2 linked regions of the Mus musculus genome follow. The main gene of each other region encodes a partner of the protein of the gene in region 2 in a complex. Links are inferred from orthologs where the notes say so. Each region holds a gene or a part of one and is shown on either strand. Other genes may lie near its edges. The genes, in order: Arhgap35 and Rasa1.

What was found.
Region 1: the proteins of Rasa1 (region 2) and Arhgap35 are in contact, whole or in part, in a crystal structure (PDB 8DGQ), measured with the Homo sapiens proteins. The link is inferred for Mus musculus from reciprocal best matches to the Homo sapiens genes RASA1 and ARHGAP35. Residues at the interface, in NP_002881.1 of Homo sapiens: Arg188, Arg207, Ser209, Arg211, Val217, Asn228, His229, Phe230, Arg231, Ile241, Gly242, Tyr256, Leu262, Leu263, Lys264, Lys358, Ser379, Asp380, Asn381, Ser387, Gln397, Arg398, Phe399, Lys400, Met411, Gly412, Gly413, Arg414, His425, Tyr426; in NP_004482.4 of Homo sapiens: Ser1085, Asp1086, Tyr1087, Ala1088, Glu1089, Pro1090, Met1091, Asp1092, Ala1093, Val1094, Val1095, Arg1098, Glu1100, Asn1103, Ile1104, Tyr1105, Ser1106, Val1107, Pro1108, His1109.

Annotation. Positions count from the first base shown.
Region 1 is NC_000073.6:16,611,954-16,616,429, forward strand, and holds the start of Arhgap35 (rho GTPase-activating protein 35), read right to left. Parts: upstream 3,041-4,476; 5' UTR 2,519-3,040; intron 2,114-2,518; exon of another isoform or gene 2,087-2,113; intron 2,000-2,086; exon of another isoform or gene 1,871-1,999; intron 1-1,870.
Region 2 is NC_000079.6:85,226,858-85,230,668, forward strand, and holds part of Rasa1 (ras GTPase-activating protein 1), read right to left. Parts: intron 3,619-3,811; coding exon 3,531-3,618; intron 2,826-3,530; coding exon 2,748-2,825; intron 1,909-2,747; coding exon 1,751-1,908; intron 1,451-1,750; coding exon 1,374-1,450; intron 268-1,373; coding exon 95-267; intron 1-94. UniProt on the Homo sapiens protein: Inhibitory regulator of the Ras-cyclic AMP pathway. Stimulates the GTPase of normal but not oncogenic Ras p21; this stimulation may be further increased in the presence of NCK1.

The sequences.
Region 1 (4,476 bases), on a different chromosome or scaffold from region 2:
CCCACTGGGTCTAACCCAACCCCCAAAGATCACAGCATTAACCAAGAAGGCAAGACTACAGCTTCTGAAGACTAGAGCCCGTAAACACCAAATGTGGCCTCAGCAACCCCTGGGACATGCAAAACTTGAGAACTCAAATTTCCTTGGCCTGGAGTAAAACAAGAATATGACTTTTCAGCTGATGAAAAACCAAAAATAAACAAAAAAATACAAACTCATGAATGCTTCTGGGGGGAGGGTAGGGGCATACTGGTGTGTGGTGTGGAGGTGGAAGAGTGTAGAGCCTACAACTCGCTACAACTGCTCAGAGAGGCAAGGAGGGAAATGAGAAGAATAAAGAGTCAGGAGCAGCTGCAGTCCCCTTTCCCAAGGGCACAAAGCTGTGAGGCCCAGAGAGGGAGCAAAGAGAACATAAATGGGGCAATAGATGAATCCTATCCACCATCACTAACCTTGATGAGAGTCAGAAAAATGGGGAGACACTCCCAAGACTGCAGAGAGCTGCAACCAATCAATCCCTACCTCTGTAACAGATCTCAGGAGGACTTTGGAGGATAAAATTCAAAACACTCAGGACTCACAGAGAATCTGCAGCCTGGATCAGTGCCTAGAGTACCTCGGCTCAGTCTATCCTGGAAAATGCTGAGAGATGTATAGGACAGGGGTGTCCTCAATGGAGAACTTGTTGGTGGTGGGTGGGAAACCCTGAGAAGCAGGTGTGATGTGAGTTAAGTATTAGAAAGGGAGCCTGACAGGGTTGAGGAAAAAGGCAGAAAGCCACGAGGGAGAAAGGCAAGAAGCAAAAGAGGAAAGGAACTGAGAAACGGGTATCAAAAGAAAATGAACATCTAAACAAGAATTTGTAGACTCCAAGAAAGGGGAGACGGGGATAATAAGAAAGGAATGATACCTTCAGGTTAGAACTAAGGAAAAGGACTTAAAAGGAGGTGGAGGCAGAACAAGACAGGATCGGAGAATGAACAAAAAAAAAATCCAGTGAAAGGCTGAATGGGGGGGATGGAGGACTTAGAATTAAGAAGGACCAAACATAGAACACAAGGAGACTGGTGTTGAAGATGATCACTTTGACAGGGACAGCAACAGTAAAGTTCAAGACGATTCAAAACTATGTAGACAAATGGACAGCTCCAAAAGAGAGGAAAGAGCACCAAATAAAGAGAATGAAGGGGAAAAGCCGGTAGAAGAAAAGGGCAGAATGGGCAGCGTGTGAAGGATCAGGGTCAGAGTCATCTAAAGTGCAGAGAAACACCAGGAGCAAGGAAGACATAGGCAGCAAGTCCTAGGTGTAGATGAACTTACTGGTGATGGGTTTGTGGGGAGAGAGAGCAAATGAATGAAGCAGAGCAGAGGGGCATTGAAATAAAGGTGGGAAAGAGAGGAAACTCAACGAGAATAGAGGTGCAGAGAGAGTACAACTGAGTAGTCAGGGTTAGGGCAGAGGTCTGCTAAAGGAAATGGCAAAAATGAGACACCCTAAGGGACAGAAAAGGGGGTAAAAAGAAGAGGGCAAAAAGCCAGGCACCACAGGGGAGTGCATGCAAGATCAGAGCGCCTGCACAGGGGCAGAGTTGGCAGGCAGAAGGGTCTGGAAAAGAGGACAGGGTCTGAATGGCAAAATGGGAGCAAGCACTGAGAAGGGAAGGAAGCGAGCAAGGCGCATCAGAATCTGAGAACCGTAGGAGAAGGAGCTTAGGGACATCCTAGGAGGTGCAGAAGGTTCAGTGTTGCGACCCGGCAAAATATGGGGCAGTTGGGCCCAAATACAAGGAGGAATTATGTCCAAAGCCAAGACCGGGAGGGCAGTAGAGCAGTGCCTGTATCAACAGACCAATACGGATCTCCACGGAGGTGGAACCGCAGGTCCTAAAGGGACAGCTCCTGGGGATGCAAGATGTTCTACCGCAGGGATAATAACAGTAAATAGGCCAAAGAAGGAGAATGGGGATTTCCTCCCAAAAGTGATGCTAGCAGAAAACAGGTAAGGTAGAAGGGCCACGGATATTCAAAGTGAGCGTCAGAGGGGATACTGAGGGGTCAATGAGGAGGTAGACTGTCCCAGGAGCACAGCCGACTCCAGGAGGTGGCGAAGTAGGTATGACTGGGGGTCGGGGTGGGGGAGGAAGTGGGAAAGAAGACGGCTCAGAATTGGGAGTCGGGTATCTCGAGTGGAGGCTGAGAGACACCGAGATCCTTCACCGGGTTTGGTGGGGCGTGTGTGGAGGCAGACGCCGGGATTGCAGGGCTGCGGGGACACTAGCGAATAGGAAGGGCAAGGCGGGCCGCGCGGGCCGGGCCCGGGCATGCAGCGGCCGGGACGCGGGGACCGCGGGGCGCTGGGGGGGGCGCTCCCACCCCTCCCCCTCCGGCTCCTCCATTGTTCGCGGGCTCCGGGCCCCGCGGTCCCCGCCTTTCCCCCCACCCTTGGATCCCGCAGCGGGGCGGCGCCCGGCGCCTCGCCCGTCCCCACATTCCCCTCCGCCAGCTACGAGACACTTACCAGTCTCGGGGGCGCACTCAGCGCGGCCCCGGCCTCCGCGATCCCAGCCGCAGCGACGGCGGGCCCGGCGCCATGTTCCCCTAGCGACTCGTTCCTGAGGCGGCTGAGGCGGCGGTGGCGGCTCCGGCGGCGGGGGGCCGGGCGGACCCTCCCTCGCGGGCTCCCTCCTCCGCCTCCTCCACCTCCTCCTCCCGCCGCGCCGCGGCTCTCCCTCGGGGCGGGGGGCGGGGAGGGGAAGGGGGGAGGGGCGGGAACCAGGGGGAGGGCGGACCAGCCTCGCTCGCTCGCTCGTTCCCTCCCTCCCGCGCAATGGCGGCGGCGGCGGCGGCGGCGGCAGCGGCGTTGTCGCCTCCTTCCTGCGGCCGCCGCGGCCGTGCGCGTACTGGAGACCCTCTCGCAAGTGCGCGTGCGTTTCTGAGGGGCGAGAGATGCTGGGGCTGGGGTTGGGAAGTGGATAACGGCCCTGTGGGCCGAGCGCACCGCGAGGACCGTAGGCCGGGAGGACAGGCACGCGCGGACACCGAGGGCGCGAGTGCGCGTGCGCGCCTGAGGAAAACGCCGCTACCTCAGCGGCTGCGGCGCCAGATTTACACAGCGCGAGGACGGACACCCGCGAACTGGCACAGGAGGGCGCGGGGTGGGCTGAGTGCGCGTGCGCAGAGACGGCTGCAGCCTGCGAAGCCACCGAAGGGAGGGAGGAGCCCGCAAGGGGGGCGCGCACGGCGTCGCGCGTTCCAGGCTGCAGTACCCGCCGCCCCTCCCCACACCGCGCCGGCTCCAAGAGAAAGCCATCTCTGAGAGGCTTGGCCCGGCTCGTGAGGGCGGGGACTTAGGGCTCCATCCCGCTCGCGCGGGACCTCACTAACCAATGGAAGGCAGAGGGAGGTGGGTTCGCCTCCTGGAGCCGCAGCTTCGGGATAACGGAGGGGGTTGGGGGGACAGACGTAACGTGGGGTGGCGAGGCGGGGCTGTGAAGGAGGGAGCGTACCCAGCGAGTGAACCAATTGGGCGAGGGAAGGGGGCGTGGTCCTTCACAGCCCAACCCAGGCTCGCCGTTGGCCAGCCCAAAAGAGTGGGCGGGGACAGGGGGCACGTGCTCTTTCCCGGGCGCTGAAGAAAAACCTGTGGGCCAGGCGCGTTGATACAAGTTACTGGTGATTTCTCCCAGTGCTTGGTCTCGGGCAGAGGAAGGACAGGCCCTGCATTGCAGCCCTAGTCTCCCAAGTCAGCATCGGGCAAATGACAGCAAACCACATGTCACTTTGGGTGCTTGCAGGGGGAATGGTGATGTAAGAGGGCTCCCCTCTAACTCTGTATTCCTCTGGGAGCCCTCCGGAAGGATGGATTGTGAAAGACAGGCTTTCCCGGCGCCTCACAGAGTGTGGAATGCCTGAAGGAAGCACGTGTTTCCGATCCAGCCTTGCACTTCTTTCCAGGCTTTTCATCTGTAAAGTGGGATAACAATACTGAACTCCAAAGGGTCGCTTGGAGAATCGAATGAGGTATAATAGGCCCTATGGCCACGATTCATGGTGGGAATCCTCGAACTACTAGAACCCAGTAAAATATGGGCGATCTCCCTTATACATTAATATCTATAATAGCTGATGGATTACTCTTAGCAGAGGATTACCCACAACAATAGAAAAACGATGAATATATATTACGCTGTAATAAGAGAAATGTGGATGTGACCCTCCTAGCCACCGGTAACTGAAACATCAGAAAGCAACAGGGGAGTTAAGAGGGAACTACTGTGTCTCTAAATGAGGGTGGGGTGTAAAGGAGTGACCTACACGTATTGAGTACGCAGTAAGCATTGCTAAATAAAATTACATGGGCTCGACCAAATCCAGCAGCCAGAACTTCATGAAGTCAAAAAGGTCATGCTGTGGGTGATATTCCTGGAGTCTGCTTTAAGGTGGTTAAGGCAGCCAGTATGTATGTCTCTTTTGGCT
Region 2 (3,811 bases):
TATAGGGTGTTACTATTTAACTTAATGGAGTTTTATTAAATAGTAAATATTTCTGTTTAGTATCATTAAAAACGATTAAACTAGTAAACAATACCTCTTTAAATTCACTGTACTCTTCTTCTGGCATGATTTTTTCCATGGAGTATCGTGCTCGAACACGCAAAGATCCTGGTTCAATACCTTTTAGTGGTATATGGGAACTTAGTAGAAACCATTCATCTGTTGCATGTCCTTTCTGTAACCTGCTCAACTGGCAACGCATAAATACTACAAAGAAAAAAACAAATTACGATATTAGAAAACCACTACAGTCACATAATAAACTTTTCTTGATAATCCCTTTCTCTAGTTTTAAATGCTGTCCACTAAGCAGGTTTTCAACACTACCACAAAGTCAACACTTCACTTTTTTTTCTTCACTTACTGAAGGCCTGTTATGTGGCATTTTGTAGTAGTATGGGAACATGGGATTGTGTCTGACATGCATGCAAAATGTCTTAAGCTATCAAAGAGGATGCAGTTCAAGTGCTGCAACAGTGAATAGTACTTTTGGACATAAGGATGAGTAAATCAGCCTAGGAGAGTTAAAAGTCTCTTCCAAACAGAAAAGTATGTTGAGATAGCTAGTGAGGTATCAAGGGAGAGGAATGAAGACCACATCCAAATAGAAAGTATGACATTTTTCTGTGCCATTACTGCAATGTTATCATATAAGTAATGGAGAAAAACATTCTTTTAAAAAGGTATGCAATTACAGACTAAACATTTTATTCAGAGAGGTACATGTCATTTGATCTGGCATATTACTGTTTACCCTAAAACCCTGAATTGTAAGAAGACATAAACCTAAGTCACCCCGATGTGAATCGTTAGATCACACTGTCATCTATCTATCCTATCAAAAATGTACTGCTTAGAATAGGATCGGAGCATCTGCTATTAAGCACCTAAATTTTCTGTGTATGTTTTTTTTTCTTTATCTTTGCAGGTTTAGGTTTTAATCCTCAGCAAGCTAGACAAATACTCTACCACTGAGTTACAGCTCTAGTATTAACAGTACCTTTAATATGTGCAGTGTAGGAAATGAGGGAACACTAAAAAAGTAAAGACAATAAAAAAATAATCACCACTACCATTTTCTCATCTTGTTCTTTGGGAACAGGAAAGTGGGCATTTGTATATTTTAAGTTGTAAGGACTTACAGTACATACACTTTAGTCGTTTTGTTTTTTCTTTCCTTCATAATCCCTTCTGAACAATATTTAGAAGCAAACTGTTATATAGCATGTGTTTCACTTCCATTTTGACACATAAATTCTAAAAATATATACAATATGCTTTTATTACTTTAGAAAGCTTCATATTCAACTTACAGATATCTGGATCTTTGCTTTTCTTTGTTTTATTACTAAGTGTGATTTCAAATCTATTGATGTCAGGAGGAAGATCACTAAAGAAGCAAGGAAAAAAATTAGAAAAATGTTGTAGTATCAAACTACCTTATTTCTTTTTTAACAGTTCAGTGTGTTAGATTTAAAACAGGATTAATAATTCATTAAAACAAAATTAGGAAATACAGAAAGCATTTTGTTATTGTTTTTGAGTAATTCAAATATGAAAGAAGCTAAGAGAAAATACTATTAAAACACCTAGAAAACAATAGAAACTTAAACAGATTATATATAAACAGTAGGAGGAAAATGTAATTATGATTGTAAAAACTGATTGAATATGACAAGATATGACTTACTCAAAGACAAACTCCTCTGACCATACTGGGTTTTGCCCCTCCCTTGCATGAGTTTTTGCTACTTGGACGCTATTCAAGTAGATGTTACAATATGGATTAGTAAAGTGTTTTACTGGTAGTTTATGGGCTTCTTCAATATGTAAAACAAGGCTGCTGACCTAAAGAGAACACAAAAATTCATATCCAACATTTCAAGACCTGAATATGAGGCTTTTAAATAAAAAAAAAAAAGACTTTTTTCCTTAATATTTAAAAGAAAACATAAGCTTTGCTAATCAACTACCATCATCCAAATGAAAACTACAAACATGGAATAAACATGCTTACATGTAATGTACAGTATAAGCAACCATATGCTTACATTAAGATTTCACTATTCTAGTAAGAGTCTCATGGTTAAGGTATTCTAAGACACCAATTTTACCTTTTGACATTTCAAAAACGACAGTAATTCCAAGAAACTAACTTATCACCAGTTTGGGTGCCTACGACATGACCACTACTATTGTTTTCTCTACATCAGTTATGTCACCTCCTACAAGTCAGTCTCGGAGCCTCTCCTTTTTCATACATGTAGACGACTATATGTTAATGACTGGGAACAATCCATAGCCACACAGCAGAGGAACTGACATATCCAAGGGATTCACGATATTAGCTCTGATTTTACATGGACAAATATATGTGACAATTTCAGTATATTGAATACTTAAATCACAAATACAATTAAATGTCCTTGGGACAAAACCCAGGTTTTATATTACAAAGAGTATTTAGTTACCTAAAGAAACAACTATTTTATATACTTCCAATAAAATAGTATGTTAAAATCAACAAGCTTCCTAGAAATATCCATTTACAGCAAAGCTATAAAATGCCTGAAAGACTAAAACCTTTCTACTCTTGAGAAATGTTAGGAAAAAATAGCATGCATAGAAAAAAACAGCAAAGTAAAAAGAAAATTAATTATTACAAGTCAGACAAAATGAAGTTTCACCTGACGAAGGCGTTTATTAGATGTCCCTGGGCTACTTTTCCGTAAACTGCAAAATGCTTGCAGACCTTTCATCCAATCCTACACTCACAAAAAACATAAACAGAAACAAAGCATTAGAAAGAAGCAGACATAAGTTTATGCAATTATCAAATTATCTTTTTTATATTTATTATTTGCCATTCATACCCTGCAAGTCCTACTCTCAAAATATACTACATTATAATTTCTTTCTGTCCTACCAAAGTGAAACAAAAAACAAAATTTTTAAGTCAAAGGGCCTACTTAGGATCTAAAGTATTATGGTCATTTGGTTCATTCTAGGCCTGGCAGATGATGTTCTATTCCCAGACACGTTCATTTTTTGATCTAATTTATTTTTCAGAGTTTCCTCAGAAAACAGCCATATCTGTACAAAATACAGTTAAATACTCTGAAATATTACAACTGGCTTTCTTTTAGATTATACTGACTTATGGAAATGTAATGAAATGATTAGTTTCAACTGAATTCATAGATTACTTAATGGTCAATTTTAAAGGGCAATTTTCATTCCTCATAACACTTCACTGTACATGTGTCTGTGTGTATGTCTATGTGTATTAAAAAGAAAAAAATGCTAAAAACTATTAACAAAAACTTTGACATGGAGTTTCTCATTTATTAAAATACTACCACTTTAGACATGCTTTCATAATTCTGTACTATGGTAGTTTTGTATGCAAGTTAATAAGGAAAATTAGGCTAATACAAAGATATTAATAGTTTAGGAAAAAGTGATCTTACCTCTGCTTGTTCTGGAGTTTCTCCTGCAAAGTAAAAGATGTAATGTTCTTCACTAAAGTGCTGAACTACTATCTGAAAACAGTTTGGCCTTGGAACACATGCACACAACACAGGAAAAAAAAAGAAGAAAAATTATTTAGAAACTTATAAAATATTTACACCAACTTTTAAAAGCCACAAAGTGTAATTTAAGATTGTTATAATTTTTAATTTAGAGAAGTTGGTATTTCGTTCTACCAAATTAAAATATCATTTATAAATTTCAACATTTAAAATAAAGG